2 linked regions of the Tribolium castaneum genome follow. The protein of the gene in region 2 interacts with the protein of the main gene of each other region in a biochemical or structural test. Links are inferred from orthologs where the notes say so. Each region holds a gene or a part of one and is shown on either strand. Other genes may lie near its edges.

Region 1 (5,307 bases), on a different chromosome or scaffold from region 2:
TTCCAAGTGAACAATTCTGCAAGTTCATTGGACCGTTTTGTTTGACTTGCTTTACAAGAATTCGATTTATTTTTAAGCGCATGTTTTAATGAAAAATTCGATAATCTTATCAAAATTTAATCACACATTTGAACCTTCCACAATATTTTTAAGATTTCGTGACCGATATCATGAGCTAAATTTTTACGATTAAACAATAAAACTGTTCTTTGTGGATTTGGAATGTGTGTCATTTTAAACGCACCTCAAGTAACAGTTAAATTTATAACAAATTGTGACGCACCAATTGGGTGAATCATGGGTAGCAGAAATTAAATGTTTAACAAGAAAGAGTAAAAGTTGGAAAGTTTATTCAAATTTAATTTAAAATGAAAAGTGTTCTCTAATGAACGTCGAGTGTTTTCAACCAGAAATTCATGTGATTATGTAGTGCGGAAGAGGAAAAAAATCATATTTGATTGCGGAAAAATTAAGTAATAAAATAAACAAATTCACTGACTTGTTATTTGCTCCATTTTTCAAAAATTATTCCAGGAAATGATGACTGATGAACACATCCCAAAAAAATTTTTTATACAGGGCGTGACGGTAAAGTTGATACAGTCTTGGTAATGAGGAAGTTTCCATTTTTTTCAAATTAACACCATTAATAGTCTCCATAATTGTAAAACTAATGGTACTTTTCATTTTTTTATATTCGCAAAAATAAAAAAGTTAAGAGACCTCAAAGTTCGAAATTTGACAGATTGTGCACTTTACTGGTCTCGCTAGGTGTAACGTCACGCGGCACAATTTTCCACAGCTGCCTACTGCCGCGTGTGGAAAATTCGATTTTTTGAGGGGCTGTATCTGGTTAAAATTAACATGTTTCCAAAATTATTTCGCTGTTCCTCAATTTTTTCCACTTAGCTATTGCACTCCTATATCTTTTATGAATGTTTAATGAACTATTAGCCCTAAATAAAATAAATAAAATTTAGAAATCTCACGTTATAAAACCGTTTGATATAAAAAAATGAGAACATTACAACTTTAAAAAAGAAGAAAATCGTAATTTCATATCTTTGAAAACTCTAGGTTTATAATTATAAACCACATCTACTTATTCATCGAACGTATCTTCAAGAGCATTGACAAATAAAGAAATTGTATTTCTGTTTATGCAAGAGTTGATATTCTTTAATAAGAAGTCGTTTGTTGAACACTTATTTTTTTACATATTTTTTGTACAAAACACTTTGCAAGCATTGTTTGTTCTAGAAATCATAAAAATGTTCATTTGTTAATATTTTTAATTTTTTTAAATTAAATAGTATTTTATTAATATAAATATTTCTCATTAATTAATATTTATTGTTTATAAGAAATTGTAGAAAGAAATCTGAAAAAATTCGATGGCATACAGCAAGAAATAAAGCAAAATAAAATCGCATACGCTGATTTTTATGTGATTATTAAAATGGATTATTATTAGTTATTAGTGATTTATTACAGTATCTACTTAAACATATTACTTCAATCATCACAAATAACACTTTCTTTCAATATTTATTTCTTTTAAGTCAATAAAATTATCCAGAGATCTCAATACAATACCGAAAGGAACAGTAGTGTGTAAATCGCGTTACCTTGTGAACAGTTTATGCCGCGTGACGTCATCAGGCTCAAAGCGGGACCGCTGTCAAACCGGCAGGCAAAAAAGCTTATATTTTTGTTATTTTTAAAGTTATCGAATTATTTTTTTTTGCATTCAATTTCTTTATTTGAGTACTATTATGTTGAAAATAAATAATAAATAATAAAATAAATTTTGAAAAATGGGAAACTTCCTCATTGTTTTTGTAGGATTTTTGAATTTTCACAACGAGAGAGTGAGTTGTTAGAATAAAACTTGGGTCTATTTTCAATAGTTTATCTACAAGGTTCACAAAAATAAATACGTTCGTCGAAAATCTTCGATTTTATGTTGTTTACGTCTGGTGATTAATTTAACCGAAATGTTTGCAACTAAATAAGAAACGATTTTTTTTTTCAGAATATGCTGAATTTCTCCACTGTAAAGGCAAAAAATTCGTCGATTTCGACGAAGTGCGTCGCGAGATTGAAGCGGAAACGGACCGAGTCACCGGAAGTAACAAAGGAATATCGAATATTCCCATCAACTTGAGGGTGTACTCACCCCATGGCAAGTCCTTATTAAACAAACGGGGGCAAAAAATCGATTTTACGTATTTTTTAGTGTTAAATTTAACCCTGATCGATCTACCGGGCTTGACAAAAGTGCCCATTGGCGATCAACCCCTCGACATCGAACAACAAATCAAAGGGATGATAATGCAGTTCATCAAACGTGAATCGTGTCTCATCTTGGCCGTAACTCCCGCCAACACCGATTTGGCCAACTCGGATGCCCTCAAACTGGCCAAAGAGGTCGATCCTCAAGGTAGAAACATGGCGGGAAATTTGAATTTTTTCAAACGATTTGTTATCAGGTCTTCGGACGATTGGTGTTATCACGAAGCTTGATTTGATGGATGAAGGGACCGACGCTCGGGACGTGCTAGAAAATAAGCTTTTGCCCTTGAGAAGGGGTTATATAGGTGTGGTGAATCGCTCACAGAAGGATATCGACGGGCGGAAGGATATCAAGGCGGCGATGGCGGCCGAAAGGCAATTCTTTTTGTCGCATCCCTCGTATAGACATCTTGCCGATAGGTTGGGAACACCCTATTTGCAAAGGGTGTTGAATCAACAATTGACCAACCACATAAGGGATACGTTACCAGGATTGAGGGATAAATTGCAGAAGCAGTTGTTGACGCTTGAGAAGGATGTCGAGCAGTTTAAGCACTTCAGGCCCGATGATCCTGCGATTAAAACCAAGGCGATGTTACAGTAAGTACATTTAAAAAATAAGTTTGAACTAAAAAAATATTGTAAAAAATGACTCATAATCGATGAGAAAGAATGTATTAATAACGAAGAAGTGGAGAGTAAAAAAGCACAAACAAAATAAAGAGGAGGGTGATCAGTTGAGACCTATTTTGCTAGTAGCCAGAGTATACAAAATGAATATAGTGGAACCTCTTCAAAACGAATCCATATCTCGAAATTTCGAATTATGTAATAGTTTTTTTTATTAATTCTCGTCTTTAATACGGTATTGTAAAGGTCTGGAAACCCTAAAAACAGCTTTTCTCACTAATTTTGAGCCTAGAGAAGATACAGGGTGATTCTTACATAGAAAACAATTTTTTTTTACAACTTTCCAAGGAGAAATAGAGACGATCTGTACTATTTTTACGCTTTTATTTCGTTTCTTGAGAAAAAAAGCAAAATGTATCAGTAATTTGAAATTAATAAAATCTATAGTATACATATATTTTCAGTTAAAATCTTTGTGTACTTGTGCCGTAAGAAGTTCGACCTGACAAAGTTCTACTGTAAAATAAATTTTCAATTGTTTTTATTGTTCATTATTGTTGTTAACTTTAAAATATGTCTCAATGAAAAAAATGTTTTTTGATCCTACACATTTTGATTTGTTTTTAAATGAAGCCGTAGGTTTTTAAAAGGATTTAAATAAACTATAAATCGGTTCTTTTCTTTAATTAATAAAAAAATAATAAATCAGAAAAGTAAACATAAATGAAACAATTTTAGTCGAGCAATAGATAATTTTCGGTTAATTTATTTTGGATTTCTAGGAAGAATTATTTTATTGCTGACATTTTTATTTAATATGTTACAGTGAAAATAATAAACGATTTTTTTGTAATTTGCAAAAAGTAGATATGTACAATTTTTTTTAACTAAAAATGTTCATATAATTTTCGTGTTTGTTTTTGATTTGTTAAGAAATAAAAAAATTAGAAGGTATTACTAAAACGTAATGAAATATTCGTAATGTTACGTGCAATCAAAAATGTAACTAATAACTTGGATTAAATAAAATAGAAATTGAATTACACAAAAAATAAATATAAAAAATAACTACACCTGTATACTTTTAAGGAGGTAAGTGGACTAACTGTAACCAACTAAGCTTACGTCATGACTGATTTATATTATATCACTGGTCAGAGAATAAGAATGAAAATTTTTGTTTTTTTTTTTTTTAATTAATTATCAGTTACTAAGAAATGAAGCCACAAAAAAATAAAATGAATATATTGTTGTATGTATTAGGTTCACTGGAGAAATAAGATGCTTTAATTTATCATTACTCGGTTCTATCTAACTTGTAATCAGAGTAACAGGAAAATAAGAAACATTTAACATTTTGTTTTTTTTTTTTTAACCAAAAAAGTAGTAGAAACTAACCTGAAAAAAAATAAAAAAAATTAGTAGACCAATGAAGAAGTTTTCAATTTTTCAAAATGTTATTATTTATTTTCAACATAGTAGTACTCAATTCAAGAAATGAATGCAAAAAAAATAATTCGATAGCTTTAAAAATAACAAAAATATAAGCTTTTTTGAGCCTGATGACGTCACGCGGCATAAACTGTTCACAAGGTATCTGCGATTTACACACTACTGTGTAAATATCTGGATAATTTTATTGACTTAAAAGAAATAAATATTGACAGAAAGTGTTATTTGTGATGATTGAAGTAATTTGTTTAAGTAGATACTATAATAAATCACTAATAACTAATAGTAATCCATTTTAATAATGGCACAAAAATCAGCGTTTGCGATATTTTTTGCTTTATTTCTTCGAATTTTTTCAGATTTTTTTCTACACTTTCTTATAAATAATAAATATTAATTAATGAACAATATTTATGTTAATAAAATATTATTTTATTTAAAAAAATTAAAATCATTAACTAATGGAAATTTTTATGATTTCTAGAACAAGCGATGCTTGCAAAATGTTTTGTACAAAAAATATGTAAAAAAATAAGTGTTCTATAAACGACTTCTTATTAAAGATATCGGCTCTTGCAAAACAGAAATACAATTTTTTTATTTGTCAATGCTTCTGAAGATACGTTCGATGAATAAGTTGATGTGGTGTATAATTATAAACCTAGAGTTTTCAAAGATATGAAATTACGATTTTCTTGTTTTTTAAAGTTGTAATGTTCTCATTTTTTGATATCAAACGGTTTTATAACGTGTGATTTCTAAATTTTGTTTATTTTATTTAGGGCCAATAGTTCATTAAACATTCATAAAAGATATAGGAGTGCAATAGCTAAATGGAAAAAATTGAGGAACAGCGAAGTAATTTTGGAAGCATGTTAATTTTAACCAGATACAGCCCCTCAAAGAATCGAATTTTCTACACGCGGCAGT
Region 2 (6,116 bases):
TCTAAAAAGATGAATTACCATTCAAAGACCTTATTATCATTAAAGGTAGCAAGACAAAATAATTACAATTCGTATTGAAAAAAATTGCAGTTCTCCCATGCGATAACCAAAATAGAGATCAAGCAAACAGTCTGATTTCCAACTTTTTTTTATTAAAACACAAACACAAAGATAAAACAGTTAAAAAACAATTAATTTCTATTGCTTGAAATATACTCGTGTCACTTCCGTTTTATTTTATCAATTTTACAGTCGAATTTTCGTATGATAAAGCAAACGTTGTGAATAATTAGGTTACAGTGCCAGGCAATATTTAGCTAAGAATTAATTACAAACATTAATACGTACTTTTTATTTAGAAATGGAAAAAGTTACCTGTAAGCAGGTTCTGCGATGAGGAACACATTTCCCAGCTTATGAAAGGCACAGAGAATGGCTGGAAGGCATAATAAAAAATAAATCCGCTTCTGGTATCCCCCGAAATCGCCGATTAGGGGAATAACATCGTCATAGCCCATTGTACCGTCACCTGAAACAAATAATTCCAACGAAAACTTTGTGATAACTAATCTCTGGATTTTATTTGGGCTATTTTATGGATTTATTGCGTTTTTTACGACGTTAATTTCAGATTGCTTACCACTAAAATGTTAAAAGTTTTTGAAAAAAATATATTTGAAGATACTTTTCGGGTTAGAACCGCTGCAACAGGTTAATTCGCACATGTAGTGTCAACAATTTAATATAAAAAAATCAACAAAACTAATTGATAATAATTAGAAAAATGAAAAACGACCCGAGTAAATTAAAATGTAAGATGAATTTAGCGCGTTCCCCGGCGTAACGACGTTACCTAGCAACCAATTTGAGACGATGTTGAGCCAACTACGACCGAATCAATAATGGCAAGTGAAAGAATGAAACAGCGTTCTGGTGGTAAATTAACGAAGAACTTACCGATTTGATGGTCAAAGACTAGAAGAGCTCACATAGAAGTGTAACACTCTGCTTCGGAAATCTAACATCTACACGTTTCGGGCTAAATCGGGGTTACCAGTGTGCAATCTTCCAAATCAATACTTATGCTGACCTCTATGGAAAATCCGAAAAATTGATCTGGTCCAATGCAGAGTCACGCCATGCGTTGAATAAGCGCTCGAAACATTCGATTTTCGTAACTTGTTTAAAAAAGACCAGTTTTCACGTTTCCAATTTTTTACTAACAACCCTCTTTTAGAAGGGTAACGAATTTGGCACTTTTTCACGGAATACAGCGTTAAATTAAACAAAAAACGTAATCCTGTGAGCGTAATAAAAGTAATCAGCACTAACAAAGCGGTCTCGACGAGATAACAAGTAAAATAGTGATTTTAAAAAATTCTGAGCACTTCACGGTTTTCGTTTGGGAACCGCTGGTTTCGTACAGTTATCTAACATGCCGGCGCTCTTATGCTCACATGTCATCTTGAAGTGCCAACCAATTTTTGCTCTTATGTAACATGTCAATTCGGAACAAATTCCTAAATCTGTGAGCGGAAATATCGGAAATTTATTGATTTGTGTCAACTGCAATGGTGACGAAGTGTTGAGGGTGTTGTATAGTTGAATTGTTTCTTAGGACAAGAAATCTAACAAAAACTTTGTAAACAATGGTTACTTATTTAAAACTGCTATAAAACTGCCTTTTGCTGGAGTAAATCGAAGCTGGTACGGAACACTTCTTGTTACAATTCACCGAAGTAGAATTTGTTATTATGTTTGCCGAATATACGCCTCTGCCTCTGCGGTTTTCGATTACAAGAGGCAGTGACTCATTCATTTATGATTTTTGTTTCGTAGAAAAATGTCCGCTGCTGGAACCCCATCCACGGACCCTTGGGTCATCCTGGCCCGCGAGCGAGCCCGCTATGAGGAGCAGTTCAAGTCTCTCAAGCCCAACAACGGGGTCGTGACGGGGGAGCAAGCCAAAGGCTTCTTCCTCCAGTCACAGCTCCCACCGCTTGTTCTGGGTCAAATTTGGTAAGGTAACGACCACAGCCGCAAAAATCCACTAACCCTCACCACAGGGCTTTGGCCGACACCGACGCTGACGGCAAAATGGACGTGAACGAATTTTCAATCGCTTGCAAACTGATCAACTTAAAGCTGCGCGGTTTCGAAGTCCCCAAGGCGCTTCCACCGTCTCTCCTCGCCTCCCTGAAGACCAGCACCCCGCCTGCCATACCCCCCCTTCCCAACCCGGCCCTAATCAGCGCCCCGCCGCGACCGGAGCCCCCAAAGCCGGCCCTAATCCAGCCCCAAGTACCGCCAACTCAGCCCATGCTGCCCGTGATGACGCAGCCCCCTATTGCCGGGATTCCCCCAATGATGGCAGGGATTCCCCCGCAGCCTGTGCCCGGCATACCGACGGGTATCGTGCCCCCGATGCAGAGCGCCGTGCCCCAGGTGCAGCCCATGATGGGCATTCCGCCCCAGCCGTTGGTCAACCAAGTCATGCCGACTACCGCATTTGGGGCTGCGCCCTTGGGGGCGAGCATTCCCCCGATGCCTGCCAGTGTTCCCCTGATTTCCGGCACTACTGCCATACCAACAGCTGCCGTTAGTTTGCCGAATGTTCCGGTAACTTTACCGAATGTTCCAACCGCGTCGGCAGCGCCGATTGTTCCGGCACCGCACATGTCTCCAGTGGGGTCCGTTACGGGGGCTGTTGTGTCGACTGTGGCCCCCATGGGGCCGGGGGCCACCAGCACGCCGAGGTCCAGTATTGCCAGCTTGGATAAAACTGCGTCCGTGGAGTCTCTGTACGTAAAAATATATTTTCTCTAAAATTTGTTTTTTGTTCTATTTATTTCTTTTTTTGTAAAGCCATTGAAAGCTAAGTAATTCTCAGATCGGAACAAAATTTTGTATTGTTTTCAGACAAGTCGATTGGGCTGTGCCCCATCAAACCAAGTTGAAGTATACACAAATCTTTAACACAACTGATAGAACTCGTTCGGGATTTTTATCGGGTGCCCAGGCCAGGAACGTAATGGTACAGACAAAACTGCCACAAAGTGTCTTAGCACAAATTTGGTAAGTTTTTTATTTTTGTGTAAAAATTTAAATAAGTGGATGTTTTTAGGGGTTTATCCGACATGGACGCGGATGGCAGGCTGGGCTGTGAAGAATTCGTTTTAGCCATGCATTTGTGTGAGCAAGCTTCTTTAGGCAACCCTCCACCTGCAAAACTTCCACCTGAACTGATACCACCTTCGTTTAGAAGAGTAACCAGAACCGCATCGATTTCTAGTCAAGGCAGCGTTCCTCTGGACCAAGACCCAGCTTCAACGTTATTGCAAAGTAAATTATTCTATAATATGGTATAATTCTTGCAAAAACTATGTTTTCGCAGCTTCTTTCGAAGATAAACGTAAGGAGAACTTCGAGAAAGGTCAAGCGGAGTTGGAGAGGCGCCGGAAAGCTCTCTTGGACCAGCAGCGAAAGGAAGCCGAAGAACGCGAACGAAAAGAACGCGAGGAAATGGAGAGGAAAGAGAAAGCTAGACAGGAGGCGGAACGGAAGAGAATGGAAGAGCTCGAACGCCAAATGAGGGAACAACAGGAACAGGAACGCCTGAAAGAGGAAGAGCGGAAACGACAGGCGGAACAAAGGGAAGCAGCTAGGCGGGAAATGGAACGTCAAAGACAACTAGAGTGGGAAAAGCAAAGATTGCAAGAATTGCAACAACAGCGACAGAAAGAGCAAGAAAACGTCTTACGATTAAAAGCCAAAAGTCAGAGTCTGACCATCGAATTAACATCACTGAACGACCAAGTGAAAGAATTATCGCAGAAAATTTGCGACACGCGTTTAGGAGTTTCGAATGTGAAAACAACAATCGACGGAATGCGGTCAACCAGAGACTCACAAATGCAAGAAATGTCGCAGCTGAAGAATAAACTCAAAGAGCAGAACACGAAACTCCTTGCCTTATCCCAAGAGAAGATCAAACTGGAAGCGAAAAACAAACTGAATGCTCAGATGGGCGGACAGGATGCTGAACAAGCGAAAATCGCTTTCGAAAACAAGGAAATCACTATTAAAAACCTTCGGGAGAAAATCGAAGACATGCAAAAGCAAATTGAAGGGAAACTGTCAGACATCGAAAATAACAACACTCAACTGACCGAGCTTAGAACCCAATTACACACTCTCGTCAGCGAGTGCGAAGGCTTATACGGCGTGTATGAGGAGAAGAAGACAAAGGTTTTAGAAATGAAAAATGCCAACAGGAATTTGGATTACAATGCGAGCTGGAAGAGCAACGACGCTTGGGGTGACACTGGCACGCAGGCCGCTACGGAATGGCCCGCCGATAATTGGGGCACTTCAACAGCACAACCAACCACCGATGTTGGGGTCGTGAGATACAGGGCGTTGTACGAATTTGTCGCGAGAAATTCAGACGAGATTTCGTTCCAACCCGGTGATATTATTAATGTAAGTGACTTGACCCGACTTGAGGTACAATTAATTGTTAATTTAAGGTTCCTACGAAACAAACGGGTGAGCCGGGTTGGTTAGCTGGCGAGATAAGGGGGCACACGGGGTGGTTCCCCGAATCGTACGTTGAACCGGTGGACGGAGTCGGTGTCAGGGACGCTCCAACCGCTGAAGTGTACCCCGAAGAACAGAAAACAGAACGATTAGAGTATTTTTTTCAGTTTTATTAATATTTGTACTACCATGAGTTTGCAGGGGAATTCCCGAAGTTATCGAAACACCGAATCCTGTCCCTGAGCCAGTGCCGGCCGTTACACAACCAGAAGAGACCGGAGAAATCGAATATTACATTGCTAATTATCCATATCAATCTCAGGAACAAGGTGATCTGACGTTCAACGCCGGTGATGTTATCACAGTTGTCAAGAAGGATGGCGATTGGTGGACGGGAAAAATCGGTAATACTGTTGGTATTTTTCCGAGTAATTACGTTCAAAAAGTTGATGTGGTAAGTTGGTGTGTGTTGGAAGATGTTTCGTTTAAGTGTTTGTGTTTGTTAAGAATTCTGGCACTAACACAACCACTGCGAATACTACTACCACGGCCCCGCTTAGTTCAGCTCCTGAGAGCTCTAACACGCCAATAGATTACGAGGTTTCTCAAATCAACGAATACAAGGCGCCTGAGAAACCGCTAGATGCCTCTATAACCTCCAATACTCAGGTTTGTGTCTAAAACTCCTTTTTACTAACACCAATAAACAGCTCTCCGGCGAAGAAAAAATTTTTTTTGTTACTTGCATTTTACGAAAACCGCCATGGGGGCAACAATCTTGATACAAATTAAGGTCCCATAATTTTGAAAAATTTTGCTTTACTTTGTTATGCCGCCCTACGAATGCACAAATTTCAAACTCAATTTTTAAGGAAAAATAATAAATAAAATCGTTTTTTTTTTCACAATTGAATGTTGTTTGTAGGTTAAATCATTACTGTGGCGGGTAATTAAACTATGATTAAGTTTAATAATTCGGGGCCGAGTGGTAGCCGCCACCAGAGCGAAAAACATTTATTTGAGGTAGGTCTTCCGGCTATGTTGCGGAAACAATTATTTGGGAAAGATTGAGGCAGACACATTAAAGACGTACTCATTAATAAATAGTTTAATTAACATATTTGAAAAGTACAAAAAGTAATAAGTATGCTTGCATTAAGGAGACAAATACTAAATCTATTGGGAATCGCCATCTCTTATGGAACCGGTCCTGGATTGATTCACCAAATACCCGTCACCGAATTGAGTACATGAATTTACCGAATACCACATGTAACCCTAATTTACTTCTAGTTCTAACAATTATAGTACTTAACGTTTATTTAGTCTTTAAAAATCCAACAAAGTTTCGTTCATTTATCATTCGCAACGGCGTTCGAATCGTTCAAATAAACAGGTAGCGTCCGCCGCCTTTGTTACGTAATTTACAACCCCAAAACGTTCGGCAGGTACTTATGATAATTTTTACAACAAGGTCCATGTCGAACAACGTGAGAAACTCTGGCCACCTCGAGAAAAGAAACAGTTTACCTATCTTTAACATCTATTGTTTCGCAAACCACCCGCTAGTGTTCACC

Evidence for each region.
Region 1: the proteins of Dap160 (region 2) and shi form a complex in vitro, tested with the Drosophila melanogaster proteins (2 studies listed by BioGRID, with this or other methods). The link is inferred for Tribolium castaneum from reciprocal best matches to the Drosophila melanogaster genes Dap160 and shi.

The regions. Positions count from the first base shown.
Region 1 is NC_087400.1:8,003,379-8,008,685, reverse strand, and holds part of shi (dynamin), read left to right. Parts: intron 1-2,035; coding exon 2,036-2,185; intron 2,186-2,239; coding exon 2,240-2,443; intron 2,444-2,492; coding exon 2,493-2,895; intron 2,896-5,307. UniProt on the Drosophila melanogaster protein: Microtubule-associated force-producing protein which is involved in the production of microtubule bundles and which is able to bind and hydrolyze GTP. Implicated in endocytic protein sorting.
Region 2 is NC_087394.1:30,595,995-30,602,110, reverse strand, and holds part of Dap160 (intersectin-2), read left to right. Parts: intron 1-375; coding exon of another isoform or gene 376-518; exon of another isoform or gene 519-529; intron 530-640; exon of another isoform or gene 641-828; intron 829-853; exon of another isoform or gene 854-1,192; intron 1,193-1,538; exon of another isoform or gene 1,539-1,707; intron 1,708-1,839; 5' UTR 1,840-1,843; coding exon 1,844-2,019; intron 2,020-2,066; coding exon 2,067-2,801; intron 2,802-2,919; coding exon 2,920-3,075; intron 3,076-3,124; coding exon 3,125-3,342; intron 3,343-3,394; coding exon 3,395-4,482; intron 4,483-4,529; coding exon 4,530-4,693; intron 4,694-4,740; coding exon 4,741-4,993; intron 4,994-5,046; coding exon 5,047-5,208; intron 5,209-6,116. Other genes in the region: Orct (organic cation transporter protein), read right to left, coding at 376-518.